2 linked regions of the Drosophila melanogaster genome follow. The protein of the gene in region 1 interacts with the protein of each later gene in a pairwise test. Each region holds a gene or a part of one and is shown in the gene's direction. Other genes may lie near its edges. The genes, in order: CG1943 and DIP-iota.

Region 1 (8,233 bases):
GTTTCCCTTTTGCGCTAGCGTCTTCTCCACAATGTACTGCTGGTATACGCCGCCATCGATGGCCGCCTTGGCCTGAGACTCTGCCAACGCTTGACACGGCTGAACCAATTGCGCGAGGTATGGTTGCGAAAATACTAAAAGTAACATATTCGTTGTAATGAAATTAAAAAAGAGTAACTCAAGTACGTACCAATGCCATCAAGATAAACAAAGTTGCTGGGATTGCTATGCTTTTGGGCCATGATGGTGCTGAAAACCTCCTCGATATCCTCCTCGGACAGATTCGATGGAAGTATGGTGGTCAGATCCAGGTACTGCTTGGTGGCACTGCACTCATTTAGCGCCGTGACCACCGTGAGCTCCACCAGTCGAGCGCCAAGGGCCACACGCTTGAGGTAGAGAAACTCTTCGTTGGGGAACTGCTTGCGAATGTAGGACTTGGCATCCGAAATTCCCAGCTTTTGAATGGCATCATACTCAAGGAAGCTGTTCTGCTTGTAGAACGAGTTCACCCAGTCAGCCTGCGTCTTGGCATAGATGTGCGGCACGTATTGGGAGTTGGCCTGCTTGGAGGTAACCTGGCCAGCTGGCGCGATTTCGTCCAGCAACGAGTAGAAGATCTTCTCCTGCACACCGATCTTCTGAAGAATCACAGCCACATTTATGGGCCTGGTAATGGCGGCCAGGGCTCCCCGAATCTTCGCTTTGCAACGTTGGATGTAGGCCTGAGTGAAGAACACCCGCGGATTTGAGGCATCCTGGCGACCCTTAATAATCTTACCTAGATGCTTTTCGACCACGTCGTGTTGCAGGAAGTCCGACGGCAGATCGAACTGGGAAGCCAATTCCGAAATGGAAACCTCTCCTCGCTGAACCAGCTTCTCGTTGATCTCCTGCGCAATATGACTGATGTAGTCCTCGTCGATTAGCTGTCCCAGTACCAGGTGTACGCTTTGATTCTCCGCAGATATTCGTTCGGCAAGCAGCTCGATTCGTGATAAATCCACATTTAGGGTTTTGCTGACCTCCACCAAGTTGGCACGACCTCCGTTCACGTACAACTCGTCCTGGATCTCGCGCTCCAGATGATCCGGCGTGATGTACTCCTTGCCATCGTTGGTGAACACCACCTCCAGCATCTGCTTCTCCAGCAGCAGCGTGACGATCTCCACGCAGTTTCGCTCCGAGAGCCTACGAAATTGGTAATGTAACAAATGTGAAAACGTAAAGCAGTAAAATAGGAGAGCTTCGCCTTACTTCTGCAGCGTAGACGTGAGCTGCGCCTTCTGAAAGTCGGCGGCCAAGCGCTTGATCTCGTCCCAGTCACTACCCATCTTGTTATGATTCGCTGCGATAGTAAAGATAAAGATATTAGACTGCTTAGATGCAATCTGAAAAAACCTAAAATGAAACGTCAACAAAACTCAAGTGTGACCTTACTGCTCACAAGGTGGTTTCACTGGTTTCAGTCAATGCACTGGTTGAACACGAGGCTAATGTCTTGAATCTGATATTCAAGAAAAATATCGATTACAACATACCCGTTACTCAGCTACAGGGCGTTTAAATAAAAATATAAAAACTAGAAGTCAAAGCATAATTCAGCATAAATAATCTTGTACTGATCAACAACCGAGATGATATAGTAATGAACGTCTATGATTTAGATTTAGTTATTAAACAGTAATGAAGTACTTTTTTTCAAAAGTTGCAATTCTCTTTCATAGATGGCGTGTTGAGCAATCTCGACACTTAACAGTGCCAGGATACACTGCTGTTATATCAAATGGGACCAGACTAGAAAAGCTTCCCCTACGAACAGAAGACAGATTTTCGGTTAATTCCAATACTCTGCTCCGGTCACTTTACACCATATTTGAAATCAACGTTCGTTGGCAAGTGCGCGTCGTTTCCGCATCTCTTATTCGCAAAGTTAAAGCCAGACTTCTTCGAGTAGAGCCGTATTCCGGAGTCCTTCCAAGGTAAGCGTGACTTGGGTGTCGACATGCTGGGCCCACAGATAGTTGGTTGACAGCGGGTTTGCGAGATAAATCAATATTTTCGCAGACCAACACTTTTCACTTGTGTCATGGAATTTCGTACACCGAGCGCAAGCGCTGTCTGTGTGTGCGTGCGTTTGTGTGAGTGCAGCTGCTTTTGAATTTTATTTAGCACAGCTGCCATATGCATTATAAATAACACATCCTCTGTGGAAGTGGAAGATTCCCGGTTTGTGGCTCGGTCTTTTGGGCTATGGCCCACGACGGGGCAATCTCCGGCTGCCGCTCCTTTTGGGCGGCCATATTGTTCGGGTTCTGAGTGCTTCGCTTTAGTCAGGCGATTATTGCATGCACCTAGGTACGAAAAACTAACCGAAAGCAGTTTGAACCGAATCTCAGTAGCCTGCTCTTGAAGTGGCTGTTGTTTACTTCGCTTTCTGGTCGGCCAGTTTCCGTGTGCATCGCCGTTTTTAGTCTAATCGATGATACGTTTTAAGTAGGTCTGCCGAAACTGGATTTGTCTAATGTGTTTTGGCCATAAACATTCACTTGGTCAACAAGTCGCGGCGATGGCAGCAGGCCGAAATTTCGAGTTTTAACCAGATTGCTCATTACTCATAATTTCAGCACCAATACAAGTAGAAAGCACAGTTAATGTGATTCTCGTATGCATGCAGATGTGTGTGTGTGAGAGCCGGCAATCGCCCTAGGGAAGCAAAAACAACAAGTACAGTGGAAAGGGAACACGGCAATCAGTCTCTGTTATTGCCTTTCTGCACTGAGAGAAAATGCTTGTACGATGTCATTTTTTGCCAGCTAATTTGTTTTCATTGTTACGCCTTATATCTATCTCTCTCTCTTTGGTGTTGTTTTAGTTATGTAAATAAAATTTTAGATATCCATTCGATTCATCATAATAAATTTAGATGCGACCGTATTTTGTTCTGTGCAGTACGTTGGTAGTGTTTTTTGCCCAGGTGGAAAGCGTTCAACTGTGGGAATCGAAATCGCTTGTGAGCCTTCTAATCTAGAGATCTTTGACTCGGTGCGGTCATTCACATTGCTTTGTTTTCCCGTACCCCAACAAAATTGCCAGTGTGTGTGGCCTGTGTTTGTTGTTGTCGCCAACAGCCACCCCAAATGGGATACACCCCAGGCGGGAGTTGGGCGGAATGTGCCTCCCCCAGCGGATGACGCATCATTACAAATGCTTCTTCACCGCACTTGCCTCAGATGTCATCGCCTGGGAGGCGACCTCTTTTCCGCCATAAGCGAGGCAAAAAATCATTACGAAACTAATATTTGTCATTTGCATCTTGGATGCGAGGAAGTGTGTTTTATAGATGATATGTAAAGCATATTATTTTCATATATACATATAACCCACTTTCTATTAACTTAATTAGTTTCTTAATTGACCACTCTGACTATTGGCACTTTATATCACCAAAGGACTTTATTGTTTGAACTGTAGTCAATGGTCAATGCCCAAACGCACTTTTTGAGCCCACTGTGCGAACGCCTAACACAAAAACGGAGAAATGAACAATGGCAAAAACAACAACGAAAGTGCGACAGCCACAAAACGCGCAATTACAGTTAACGGCAAAGTTAAAAAGTTGAGGGCAGCGCAGCAAGAAAAATAGATGAGTTTCTATATACATACATACATACATATGTGTGTAGAGAAACCGTCGATAAGGTGGCAGAAGGGCAGAACAAATGGGTCTCTCGTTTTCACTCCACTTCGCCAAGATTTGCCAGTGGTGGGGTGATGTCGGATGACGGGCGTCATTGTGCCGGGCGTCACATCCGCAAGTGGCGTGACTGAATTTGTAGTCTAGGGTACTCGTATTTCCGACCGCATCTGATTCACTTTTCATTGTTATGCATTGCAGTCACTGAAACCACAACCAGCAGCGACAAAATGACATCCACCGAGCTGAAAATCGGCCTGACCACCAGTGCCCGTCCCTCCAGCCGAGTGCTGAAGCCCCCAGGCGGCGGACACACCAATATCTTCTCGGAGCCCGACGTGGCCGTTCCCGCCCCGCGTGCCAAGTACAACCAACAGAACTCCTCAAACCTCAATGCCTGCATGGGCTCCACGGATCCCAACAAGGTGGTGGAGAAAATTCGCGAAGAGGTCTCCATCCAGAAGGAGGAGGCCAAGTCCGCCCCACCCAGCCAGCCCAAGGAGCCGGCGAACAAACCAGCGGCCACAAATGGAGAGGCACGCGGCCGAGTTCCACCCGGCGGATTCTCGTCGGGCGGATTCTGGTAGAGGGAGGAAGGAGGGAAGGAAGTGTGCCCGGGAGCAGAAGCAGCTGCCAAGCATTTAATGACTCACCATCACATCCTCAGACCGACATAAGAATCATAAAACTATAAATATACATAACTCGCTTATAACATACGTATACACCTATATTTAGAGGCGCATTACCTATATTAACCTGCTGATCAGCCGAAGAAGAAGGGAAACTGATTATATTTTGCCAAGCAGCACTCCAAGTCGTTCTTCCTTTCGCCCTTTCATTTTCATGTCCCACATTTGTTCTATTGTCTAAGTAACAGGTTTAAAATGTCTAACGAAATTGTTGAAATTAAGTAACTCGTGATTCCGCCCCACAAATACGGATGATATGGATTGACTTTGCTAAAATCTACCACCTACTAAGCCTAATTTAGCATTTGTACTTAAAGTGTCCAATCGAATCTTCTTATAGTCTGTAAAATTCGTCCAAACGAATACCAATATAACCATCGATGTATTACTCCAAATAAAACATTTAATTGTAAGTGATGGCTCTTTTATTTTTGCAAGTTGATGGAGATTCTTCGGAGTCCGCCGCCGCCTAGTAATTAAACAATACTCCTAGCCTATTGAGTCAGTAAATACAATTCGATTTGGTCACGAAATTAATTCTAGTATTTATTACAATTCAGTTTAATTTGACAAGGTCCATCAATTTATCGTCGAACTTGATAAAGCGCATTTCTAAATACAATAAATACAGCATCAAATGTATTTCAGTTATCTTAACATCCGCCGCATTGGCAAAACTAACAATTAATGGATAAATGCGCAAGTGGTTGATTGATTTGATGTCCGATGCTTTCAAAGATCTGCTCCTGGGCGCGGCGTTGTCGATGCGTTTGCATTTATGTACCATGCGGGGGGTGTCCATATGGTAGGCTTAAAACTATAGATTGGGCTGCTCTTCTATTCTTGTTAGACTAATTCAGACTATTCACTATTTAGATCTTCATGTCGTTGATGTATGAGTCCAGTTCGGCGTCCAGCTCCTCAGCAGTGGGCGGGGCCTTGCGCTCCCGTCGCTGGCCGCCTGCCGCCGGCTTGCCACCGACCGGACGTTTGAAGCCGCGACGCGCCGTGCCACCAGCTTGGCCACCTAAAAAACAGTTCGGAATGATAGTGTAAGCATTGGAGCAAGGATGGATCGTCATGGGACCGTATCATGGTCATTATAGAAAGGTAAGCTTTCATATGTGGAACTGACCTAGTAACGTAGTTTACCCAACAAACATCGTATTAAATCGAAACAAAAGTTTGAATAATTACAAAAGCTGTTGACAAGAAAACATAACAAAGAAAGGAAAGTATTTCGTATAAAAAGTCAAGTAACAAAATTTGAAACCTAAGACATACTAGGTAATCGAAATAAATAGGCATTTAAAAATCTTTGTGGGAATGGGGATAGATCCAAAATTGATCTGAAATAGTTTTAAATGAACGATGTTTGTGGTAAAAATAAACGAAAATGGGCATCATTCACGGTCCCTGCTGTAGCATTTTGGATACGCACCACCACGCTTGAATGAAGTTGGTGCAGTACCACCCACGCGACGCTTGACATCGGTGGCGGCTACGGGACGGGTCAACACGGCCACGTCTGAGACGGCCAGCTGAATGGTCATAGGGCGTCCGTCCAAAGGTACGCCATGGTACTGTTTAATGGCCTTCAAGGCGTCGGCGCGACGTTCGAAAATCACGTCAGCGGTGCCTGCAAAGAAAAGTGAATAAATCAAATACATGGCAATAGCTTTAAATTTCGGCATAAATCAAAATACTAAATAAAAACCGCAGCTTCATCGGATGATCTGATCTGTTATCAATTCAAGCCGATTTATATTACTTGGAATGTCTGTTACTGAACCATTCTGCCGCCATTTTATGAACAGCATGTACCGAAATGTTTCACCTAACGACAGGTAGCTGGAGTAGTACTAGCACTTACCCAACGAGCGACCGGAGCGATCGTAGTGCACTGCCGCCTTCTTTATCGGACCAAAGTCGTTGAAGAGCTCCTTGATGTCCGTGTTGGATACGCCGTAGTCCAGGTTACCGACGATGAGGCGGGTGGGTCCAGATCCTCCACCGACGGCACCCCTCTTCGGTCCGTCGTACATATCGTGCTTCCAAGCGCTGTTCACATCGCCCTAGAGGTGGGGGTAGTATTAGGTAGAAGGTAGATGGGTATGTCTTCGAACGCTGCGCGTATCAACTATATGTATGTGGCGGGAGTAGCCGTTGCAGTAGCAGTTGCATCGTATCCTAGCCACAAGAGAGGACAGCCATATTGAGCGGAGACACTAGAAATGCTTGTTAACTGGGTATGGTTCACGTGGAAAACGTGAGGCGTGAGACGTGAGGAAAAATAAGTTAAGACACAGGTGTCGTCTGTTTGGTATTCTGTAAAAACGGGGTTAAAGGAACTTGAACTTGAGGCTCTGCTCGGGCTCGAAGAGTTGTTCCGTCCGTTGGAAGGCGCATGGTGGCCATTTTGATTTTGGTTTAGATTCTGAGTCTGTTTTTCGCTTCCAAGCACTGTTGTGCGGATCATGGGCCGCAAGACACTTGCTTTGGTAGTGCTCTGTCCTGGTGAACTGAGCACGGGGATGGTCTGCTCCGGCTGCTCCGTTTGGCCATTGAAACGCAATGAATTACCCGTGGGAACTTGGCCTTCTGAACGGCTCCGGCGGCCACTCCTCCTCGCGGGCCCTTGAGCACGCTTCCTGGCTTCCTGGGCGAGCCGCCGGCATTGGCTCCGCCGCGGCGGGCTCCACCAGCAAAACGCTGCTGTCCGCCCGTTTTTCGGGCGCCACCTGGTCCGCCGCGGGCGGCTTGCGGCTTTTTTTGCGAGCGTGTGGACTTAATGATGTCGTCGAGGCTCATTTCAATTTTGTCCACCATCTTGCTTATTGCGTGCTGTATTGACTACTTGGAGATCGTTTAAAGTCAAGGGAAAGATTGGGTCTCTGCTTGCTACTGAAGAATGTGTTTAAAGCGTTTTTTTTTTAAGGAGGAGCGCGTGGAATTTCACAAAACTTTGCAAAAACGACGCACACAGATCTACACAATCGCCATATTGGTTCAGAGGAAAAAAGTGTTGAATAACGGTGTGCGTCAAGATAACGACGACAACGAGTTGTCAACGAAAATGAAACGGCGAAATAGGGTAAATACGGAAATTATATAAACATAAAATATAACATAACATTAAAAATTATTATAATTCATATTCACGAAATATCCTAATAATATGGGAAATATCCACTTTTGAAAATGTTTAGAACCATAATAAATATGTGATTATAATAATGTTGTGATTAAATGTTGTGATTAAAATGACTATGATCTTGGAAAATTATTTGGAATGATTACCTCCCATCTAAGTTTTTTTTTTCTCTCTTTTTATTTACAATCTGTCTTAAAAAAGTATGACAATAAGTACATTTTATAATTAATCTTATATTAACAGAGGCAGTAGTTATCCATTAATCCCTACTACATACTCTAGGCATAACATGTTTTAATACTTAAAACCTGTCAGGGAGGTCTAGCACGTAAAATCTTTTAAGTCTTCTGACGTTGTTATTACGTTTTACCAAACTTAAGGCTAAGTTATTTTCATGTGTTCTTAGTCTGTCTATATATTTTTTAATATGTTTTGCTATTTCTTCTTTAACATAAGGGATTCCTAAGTCTTTATGGATACTTGCATTTGAAATAAAAATTGAGCATCAACAATTTGTCTTAATATTTTTGATTGGTAGCGTTGTAGAATCTAAATATTTGAATTGCTGGTATAAGTTTAGTATGGCTTTGTATAAACGGACTTTATTTTCCAGAGTGGTTGCAGATTTTCGGCAACCAGCAACCAGGTCATCTTCAAACTTTTTAGATTTAGTTGCTGGCGCTTTGCTTT
Region 2 (9,759 bases), on another chromosome or scaffold:
TGGAGTCGTATAGTTTGTGGTGGTGCCCAGAATCATCTCCTCTCGGGTCACATTCGTCAACTGAGCTATCTCACTGTCATAGATCACGTCGTGATATAACCAGATAAGTGGGTCTCTGCTGATCTCCTCCTCCTTTAGAGGAGCTATTCGCATAAATGGAGTGGTGGTGCTATTATAGCGACACACTAGTTGAGGTCCTGGTGGAAACTTTCCCTGGCAGCCCTGTTCAATCATAGTGGGCGATTTCCTTGGCCTTAGATGCACCAATGAATTGTTCGGGTCTTGAGAAAGTTCCTTCAGACAGTCAGTTAAGTTTTCAACGGAACCTGATGGTAAATAATTATTTATAAACACCAATATTATTGCTTCTTTGAACTTGCCTTCTTGAAGCCGACTTATGACAAACATTTTTTCGAGCTCTTTTCGTTTTGGAGCATAGAACTTAAATGCAATATTATTTTTTGGTTTGGTGAAGACACTTAAAGCTATTCGATACCATTCAGCCGCACGTCTAAATTCTGATCGTTTGTACATATAGTCTGCTAAAGCCAAGCAGTCGGAAGCTGACATTCGCGAACTATAGAATTGTTATCATTATTATCTAATAGTGTTAAAACTAAGTTATCTTACCTTAGCTGTTGACCTGCCACAAGACCCTGGGCCATATCCGATGACTTCAGGTCGTAGAAGTGTTCTATTCTATCCATTCCCATTAGGGCCTCTTCCATATCATTTGCGTGGGGTGTACGATTGATTAGCTTATTCATTTCCTCGATGTCAACTGTAAAATATTTAAATAAACCAATAGCCTGTTGTTTCATATTTAAGTGATAAAATACAAAAATGTACTTTTAGCTTCCCTTGAAATTGAGAAAACGTGCAAACATTGTATATAATCCACACCTTTTATATTTCCTTGATCCTTTAAGTAAGCAATCAACTTGGGCCAATCTTGATGAGCCCGCCTTAAAAGTCCAAAGGAATTTAGGGGATTGGACACATATTTATATCGATCCACCTTGTGATCCAAATAATTCGGAGTTAAAGAATTAATAAAACTATGTGAAAGTTAAAGTGTAATTCTAGTTTTAAGAGAGGAATTAAAATATATATCATACATTCTGAGAGTTTTGATTTTTTGTTGCAGAAAGCTAACATAGTTGTTTAAATGCTCCATATAGGAATTCTCAATCTCGCGAAGTTCAGACAGGGCTCGAATGGAATTTGAGTATATTACTTCCTGTACTACATCATTTTCGGCTTTCTTTGCTTTGCAAACTGTGAATAGGAATAATAAAATCCAGTTCAGCAGAATATAATGAAATGATCTTAGCAACATTCTGCTGCGAAAACTATATTTTTTCATTTCCTAACGAAGATACTACATTTTAAATTGATTTATATCGCTTATTCGTCAGGCCTATTTTAAATGCTGCGGTGATTGATACACTTAAGTTACACATATACACTGTTTGTATATTTAGCTTAATATAATTTAGTATTTCCCTAACAAGCCTCATAGAACATATTTCATGAGTGATTCTTGTTTCAAAAAATAGTTGTAAATTCGCTTACTTCTTTTAACAGCGCTACACAACACTATAACTTTTAGCAAAGTTATACACCGCCATAATTTTATTGTTAGGTAACATCGGAGTTGTAAACCATTTCTGTTTGCTTTTTCGAAATTTGATTTCGAGTTTCTACACAGTTAGCCAAGACACATACTTTTCATGTGTAAGTAAAAGTAAGGAAAGTTTATTTGAAAGGCTTTATTATACATCAAGCAGAAACAATTTGAAATTATCGGCAGTTTTTTAAATAAATAATTTTTAAATAATGAAAAAGTATGTTAAATCCACTAAACTAACAATTCTTGAATTTAAGTCTATTTTAAAAATATACATAACTAGTCAAGGCAATCTAATGTACGTATTGCCATTCAGATACTCTAAAACGTAAGTTTATTTTGCTGACTAATCAAATTATGAAACAAAGGTAGGATTTATCAATCACTTAGACTTCAAGATTGCATAAAAACACACTCAAATTTTAGCAAAATATTATTTAATTAAGACAGAGGCTCTGACTCAGAGGCCAGAATGAAGAAACGAAGAGAAACTTGCATGGGCCAGCAAAAGATGTGCCCCTAGGGAAAACAACAATCAAGCAAATTCCACGTGCTTATTATGATTATTGTTATCGCTATTGAAAAGCGCTAATTGTGCGCAAATAGCGGTGCGAACTTAATGCCAACTTACCGAGAAGCTCACACATGCAAACCAAGCCAGTTGGAAGTGCAAGCATCGCAGAAAAGCAGAGGAGCAGCAGCTGGAATCCGGAGGGATATGGGGGATACGGGTGAAAGTTGGGCAGAAGATGCGCGGCATTTCGGGGTTAATTAGAATGGTATTGGAGTTGGCCTTTATTCTCCGCCGCCCACAAAAAAATCACCAATAATGTGTCACTTTCCCCCGGCAACATGTCGTATACTTCATATCGTCACGTGCATATGAAAATATTACGTCGGGCGGTTTATGAATGAAACATTTACTATTGCACAGCACCGTCTTTCGGCTGCCGGGCACCTTGACTACTACTGGGCTACAACCATACCCACTAGACACACTAGAACCACCCAACCACCACCCACTACCTTCGCAAGGCCGCAGGACACATGCGCAACGCCAGTGCCGCATTTGAATTTTGAATATGAGTTTTGACACTTGATTATCAGTTCGCGACCAGTTGTACGGGTGTGCGGACGTTTGGCCACGGCAATCGGCGGAAAAAACTTCATCCGCAGAAGCGGAAAAAATACATTTGCGCTGTTGCGGCGGAAGTTGAACTTCGGCCATTTGGGCAGTGAAAGTGGCAGAGTTAAAAATTAAAGTGGGAAATCAGCAAATATTCAAAAGTTTCGCACCTTGATTGCGGTTGAGTTTTCGGCTATGGGAAGGCGATTGCCCAGCTTTTGGCTGCTGCTCCTGCAGAGCGTGTGTTTCAGCCAGGCCAGCTTTTCGGAGCTAAACAATTGTAAGTGGATCGAGGATGTGATTAACTAAAGGATAAATAAATCTGATTGCTAATAATGAAATTAGTCAGAAATATAAGATTTACTTTGAATGAAATGCATAACCCATTAAATATTAAATTAAACATTTTAAGGATAGTTTTTCTCGATTAATATGACGTTTTTTGAATGTTGTACAATTAAAAAGTATCCTGTTTACAAGCTGAACTTTTGTAACCCGCCAACACGAAATGATGAACCCAAAAGTGTACAGCTAATTGACTGCAAACTATCTAAAGCCGGAGTGGTAGCGTATAAAATGGAAGGTAGCTGGTAATCGGAAGTCCAACGAGTCCATAAGTGAATAAACTGTGGCCAACATATTCCCCAGACGGGACAGACAGGATGGCGGTGATAGGGAAAGGGAGCGGGCAGAGGGGTTTCCGGTGGAGAGCTGCGAAAGAGTAACGAGGGGTAACTTCCGCTGGGGAAAATGTGCGCCGAATAAAAAAAACAAAACAAATTTTCCTTGACTTTGGCGAGCCAAATGCGATAAATATATCAAAATTCGACAAAATTCGCATTTAAATCAATGTGCCAGATGCAAAGTAAACATAAATATTGGCAGGCTAGCCGCAGCGTGCGATAAGAAAGTGAGAAGTGGCTCAAAGGAGTGATGATGCACCGCACCGCACGATGTTCCGTGCCAACCAACCAACTCCCACCACCCACCACCCACCGCACAGCGGGCAGGCAGACAGACAGTCGCGGAAAGGCGACGTTTTCCCACTTCCTATTGCACTCTGCGATATTTTCGTTTCATTTTTTTTTCTATTCCTGGCCGGCGGTTTCTGCCGCTGAAGTGCCGCGTTTTTCGGTTGGCGGTTGCGGGTGTGGAACTGCCACTGCAGTGGGTTATTTCGCAGTTTTTACTTAACTTTTTGGCAGACATTGCGTGCTGATTGTGATTGTGATTCCTTTCGCCGGCAGACAGCTGGAGTGTCTAACAGGAGACAGGACATTCACTTTCCGTTTCAAGTTCAAGTGGCGTGGGGAAAGGACACGGCCGGATTTGCAGCGACTTCGCGGGGAAAATGCGGCTTAAGTCCTGGCCGAGCGATTCAAGCGATTCCAGCGATACAAGTCGTGCAAGAAAACAGGAAAATATATTTAACAACTCATAGTCAATTTCCCCTTATAAAATGTGGCAACAACAAAGGCGGTGCGGTGGCGAAAAAGTTAAATGCTAAATTACGCTACCTTGCAGACATAAATAAAAGAAGAAAAGTTTAACTATATGAACACACATGTATGAGTACACTCAGAATAATTTCAAAAGTAGAAATCAAAAGTAAGATATTATACATAATTACTTACCTTGTAGTTTTGTTAGCGTTTTATGTTCATTGCTCCTTTATGCATAAAAAATCTAATCAAAATCTGTTGATGCAAATATATTATTGAAATTTTTGTTTTTTTTATATTAGTTCTTTAGCTTATTATACTTTTATTTCCAGTGCAAAGTACGTTTGTGTTTTATGGCTTAAAAAGTCTCGCTCGTCCCTTTCTTCGGAATGTTTCAATATGCAAACATGCAATAACCAAATTGCAATACCAACAAAAACAGAAACCATATCAACTGAAGGCAGTCAAACAATGGCGCCTCGTTCCCCACACTCAGAGCAACTGAAGGCGGAGCCTTCGGACTCGGACTCCAAAAAAAAAGCGCCCAACTTGCGGCCAGACCCAAACATAATCGCAAATTATAGGCTCTATGGCATGGCATCCGTAGGCTACCCAATTTGATGCTAGTTTGGTGGATACCCCCCCCACACAACGCAATCAATTCGTGGTGGATGGGGGGGGTATACATAAAGGTGTAGCACAGCTTTTTACAATTTTCCAGGTACCAGCACCTGCTGCCCCCCAACCAACACACACACACATACCGCGCTCTATTAGATTTTTGCATTTTTTCGGGTTATTATTTGGTCATAATTGTAATTTAGGCGTTTGCTGGAACAGGAACAGTAGCTGGAACTGGATTCCTCGTCTCCTGGCCACAGAGTCGTGCTACTTGTTAGGCATGTGATGTGATTTCTTCCATTACTCCTGCCTCCAGCCCATTGTTGTGTTTGCGATGGTGTGGGTGGGTTCGGTTTGCGGTTGGAACTCTGGTGGTTAGATTGGCTGACGGCAACTGTCGAAGTCCTGCGGTCGGGCACCTTGACTCAAAATTATTGCGATGGGACTCGAGTTGGCCGAAGCAACAACACGCCGGAAAGCAGTAGTTTGAGTTCATAGTGTGTGAACCCAACGTGTTTATGCTATTATTTACGATAAAATCAAAACATAACTATCCCGCTGTTCAATATTATGTATGTACAATACATGAGGTACTATTTTTGAGTAAAAGTGCTCAGAAAAGAATCCATAACCAAATCATAGGTTTAAGATGATGTTCAAAACTATTGTTTCTATATATATATAATATAATCAACATATTTTACTGATTCAAAAATAGCTTCGTTTTGCTAGTTTTACAATTTGTTAGTGTTGAAGCTACTCTATTTTGCCAGAATGTAGCTGACATCTATAATTTATCTAATTATTGGATTATCTGCCGCTGTCTCGGCCTAATGTTAACCTCAAGAAATTTATGGCCGTTAAACAATTTTAAATATCGTTGACCATTTCGGCGGGCCATCTGGCAACAAACTTGGCCTAGTCTGCGTTGACATTCTGCAGAGACACGCAAAAATGTGCGAGGATAAGAAATGAAATAATTATCCTGATAATTGTGGATTAGAAAAGCTGCACATAAAAAAAGGTTATTTTTTAATTGAATTAAATGTTTGGCGTCTGAGTTCCATTAAAATACAGCAAATGCCAGTGCCTCACATTTGCAAGCCCCATAAACCACCCCAAAAGCCACCCAGCAGTTGTATATCGTCGCCCCATTTAGCGCCCTAATGATGAAAGCCATAAATGCCAAACCATTGGGCTTGGTGCCACCATCTTCCTTTGCAGCGGATCCCAAGTTCAGCGGTCCAATCAACAACTCAACAGTTCCCGTGGGACGGGATGCCCTACTCACGTGTGTTGTCCACGACCTGGTTAGCTTCAAGGTGGCCTGGCTGCGAGTGGACACGCAGACGATACTGAGCATCCAGAACCACGTCATCACCAAGAACCATCGCATCTCCATCTCCCACACGGAGCATCGGATCTGGCAGCTAAAAATACGCGATGTTCAGGAATCGGATCGCGGATGGTGAGTGAAAGTATCTATCAGATAGATGGACCATATTCTTCTACTAGCGTTTACCGTAGGTACATGTGCCAAATCAACACGGATCCCATGAAGAGCCAAATGGGCTACCTGGATGTGGTGGTGCCGCCAGACATTGTAGACTATCAAACCAGTCAGGATGTGGTTCGTTCCACGGGACAGAACGTAACACTCACTTGCAGTGCAACGGGAGTGCCCATGCCCACCATCACCTGGCGTCGCGAGGAAGCGACTCCGATACTGATTTCAGACGACGGCGATCGGGAAGTGTTCAGCGTGGAGGGTCAGAATCTCACCCTGTGGCAGGTGCAGCGCTCCCACATGGGCGCCTATCTCTGCATCGCCTCCAACGGAGTGCCACCCACAGTGAGCAAACGCGTCATGCTGGTGGTGAATTGTATGTGTGAACAAAGAGTTGGATTCAATATATAATACTGAGTTATCTTTCAGTTGCGCCCACGATCTGGACACGCTACGATACCATCTACGTGGGCCTGGGCCAGAAGCTGACGCTGGAGTGCATCACAGAATCGCAGCCGGCATCGGTGAACTTCTGGCTGAGGGATTCGCAATTGCTGCAAGGAGGTTCCTACGAGTCGGTCTCAGTGGACCACGTCTTCCGGATCGTGATGCGGATCACCCTGCGTCCAATAACGAAAAGAGATTTCGGAGAGTACATATGCAGGGCAAAGAATGCGATGGGTCAGACAGATCGGATTATAACCGTGCACCGTAAGTGAGATTATATTTCGGTTACTTAATCCCTTAGATGTAACAAATGTTGACCACCAGATAAGGCCAAGAAGCATGGACAGCACTCGCATCAAACTTCCTCCCGCGAAAGTCAGTTCATTGTCATCGAAGGTTTGTTTGTTCTACAATAAATAGAGTCGCGATAAAGATAACTAGCTAAATCTTATTGCAGAATACATCGCAAATATGTCTGATAAGAGCTGCAGTTTCCAACCGCTTTGGATAATGTTTCTATGTTTCGTCAATAAAGTGTCACTTTTGTGAGCAATCAAACAATGTGTGCTTTGTCTTTTGGCCACGTCTAATGAGTGACTTCATCTTTATATTGCCTAATTCACAATGTTATATTAATAATAATTTTGGTGACAATTGTTCGATTCAAGGGTAAAAGTAACGCACGTGTGAGCAAACTATTAAAAAAAAATCAATTAATTTGATTTTGATTCTGATCTTTTGTTTTGATTTTTACGTTCGGTTGACTGAATAAAATTGCTTTAGGACAACATTTACAATAATTTTTTTCTAAATAGTCTACAATTCGTTTAAGTTATTTACAATTGGATTCCTTAGTCAGATCAATTGAATATATCGATAGAATTCGATCCGCAACTTTACGCTTAACTTAGAGGAAATCGAACTAAGGAGACGTGTTCAACAGGTGTGTTAATATTTAAACATTAATATTTAGCTACTTCCCATCGGTTGCATCTGTTCCGTTTCTTTCGCAATAAATTAGTGAGTTAAGAATTAGATCTAGCTATGAGCGTGTCGAGGTAGGCTTAACAGTTTGTTAGTTGGATTGGCTTACAAATTAAGAGCGTGTTGGTTTGTATGTGAGGATGTGTTCATGTGTTCATGTGCTAGCCTAAGACGGGTTTCTAGAATAACGCTCAACTCGAGCCGTCATGCCCGTTAGCAAGTTTCGAAGATCTCTCCATGCTAGGCACCTCGATGGCCGGCGGTGGTGTGGCGCCCTTTGCCTTGGCCAGGACATCCCTCTGCTCGTAGATCTCGTTGACCAGCTTCTTAACAAACGGATGGTTGAACTTGCCCTCCGTTGAGTCGAAGAACTCCTGGTGCTTCAGAAGGCAATTGTCCCGCTTCTCGTACTCGAACGCCTGCATAACCATATCCAGACGATCCAAATCCTTGACGAACTTGCTCTCGGCAGTCTGTCCATGCTCGTATTCCTGCAATTCGAATTACATAAATACGCTTCCCACAAAGAGTAAACTTGGCTTCGTAACGCACCTCAAACAGCTCCATAATGCGTTTGCCACGAGGCTCGATCAGCTTGCAGATATCTTCCATCGCCTTGAACTCCATGGCTCGCTTATCGTCTTTGGATATCCCGCAGAATGGCGTTATGTCACCCACCAAACTCTCTGCCAAATCGTGTACCAGCGCCAGTTCCATGCAGCGTATCTGGTTGAGTCCCTCACTGCCGTCGAGCAGAAAGGTTAGCATGCTCATCCTGTACATGTGACCCGAAATCGATTCGCAGTCGTTGACATCACGCAGCACCCATCCGGTGCGTTTTGTGTGCTGCAAGAGAAATGGAAACACAGCGGGTTAGTGAGTTTATAATATAAAGTTACTATTCTTAGACTAGACCAGATACGTTCTAACAAAGTGCAATGCTTTTTCTACTCAATACCTTCTTGTGTAATTCAAGAAAAACAGAGTTTCTTTAATATTTAAGCTATTGTTTTCATTTCTCGTTTCTTAGATTGCTTGTTCCTGTGCTCAGTCTCACATAATATCCCTCCTGCCACTTTGATTAATTAAAAACACGACACGAATTCGGTGACATCGTTGCCGGCTGGGCTCGTTGCACACATCAAGGTTGTGGCCCCATGTCCCAGACCTTCAACACAAGCCTGCCAGCGAGGGTGGTTTGAGACTGTTGCTATTTGATCAATAAAGGTTGTATTTATAGACACGCGTGGTTGGGAGAACAAGGTCCAAAAGACATAGCAGGCCCATTGCCACTGACATTCGTTCATTTTCGTAGTTGCTAATGCTAAAAGTTGCCTTACTTATGATATTATTGCTTCATAAAACTGCAAGAAGCCACAATTTCGCTGCAATCGCATCGGTCGTGTCTTATCGGGCTTATTGATTAGCTGATCAATTTGTAGGCACGTAATGAATTAAGCACCTTATCTGATTGCTTTGCTTTTTCTATGAGCTCACACTGCAGTTATTATTATTGGTATATATAAGTTCATATTAACTTTATTAGTAATAAAGCTATAAAGAGAATGTGAGTTATAGTGATACGTTGCTTAATTAAAATGTTGCAGGTAAATGTAAGATAGGCCGACTTTCATAGAATATATATAAATATATAAGAATGTCAACCGTTTAACTAAAATCGTAAAAACCTCGTTAAGAAAAGTATTTATTAGTGTTTCGTGTAAACTAATAACAAAGCGACTAATCCTTTGTCGAAAACAAAACAAAGCAGTATATATTGAATATGGAAATGTATCGCATCACTTTGCTCAGTTTGGAAAACATCTAGAATATATTGTTGTCCCCTCCAAACCATCCAACCGCCCTTGTGGCGATCCGTCAGCTCTACAAGATAGCGTCTATAATTTGAAGGCCAAGATCAAAGTCACGGGTTGCCTACTTTTTCGCTGCCTTTGCACGCTCTATATGCAATCGGATATATAATAGAAGATTTAGGAACCTG

The links.
Region 2: the proteins of CG1943 (region 1) and DIP-iota interact in a two-hybrid assay, tested with the Drosophila melanogaster proteins (one large-scale study listed by BioGRID).

The regions. Positions count from the first base shown.
Region 1 is NT_033777.3:7,072,992-7,081,224, forward strand, and holds CG1943 (uncharacterized protein), read left to right. Parts: upstream 1-1,867; 5' UTR 1,868-1,982; exon of another isoform or gene 1,983-2,496; intron 2,497-3,756; exon of another isoform or gene 3,757-3,898; 5' UTR 3,899-3,927; coding exon 3,928-4,284; 3' UTR 4,285-4,990; downstream 4,991-8,233. Other genes in the region: Ufl1 (UFM1 specific ligase 1), read right to left, coding at 1-134, 191-1,191, 1,258-1,334; Ref1 (RNA and export factor binding protein 1), read right to left, coding at 5,262-5,416, 5,831-6,028, 6,263-6,464, 6,973-7,218.
Region 2 is NT_033779.5:6,614,703-6,624,461, reverse strand, and holds DIP-iota (Dpr-interacting protein iota), read left to right. Parts: upstream 1-2,761; 5' UTR 2,762-2,951; coding exon 2,952-3,036; intron 3,037-5,015; exon of another isoform or gene 5,016-5,382; intron 5,383-6,043; coding exon 6,044-6,287; intron 6,288-6,346; coding exon 6,347-6,702; intron 6,703-6,755; coding exon 6,756-7,037; intron 7,038-7,097; coding exon 7,098-7,169; intron 7,170-7,230; coding exon 7,231-7,322; 3' UTR 7,323-7,328; downstream 7,329-9,759. Other genes in the region: CG34345 (uncharacterized protein), read right to left, coding at 1-326, 381-577, 631-781, 904-1,058, 1,119-1,339; CG11050 (uncharacterized protein), read right to left, coding at 7,949-8,248, 8,310-8,603.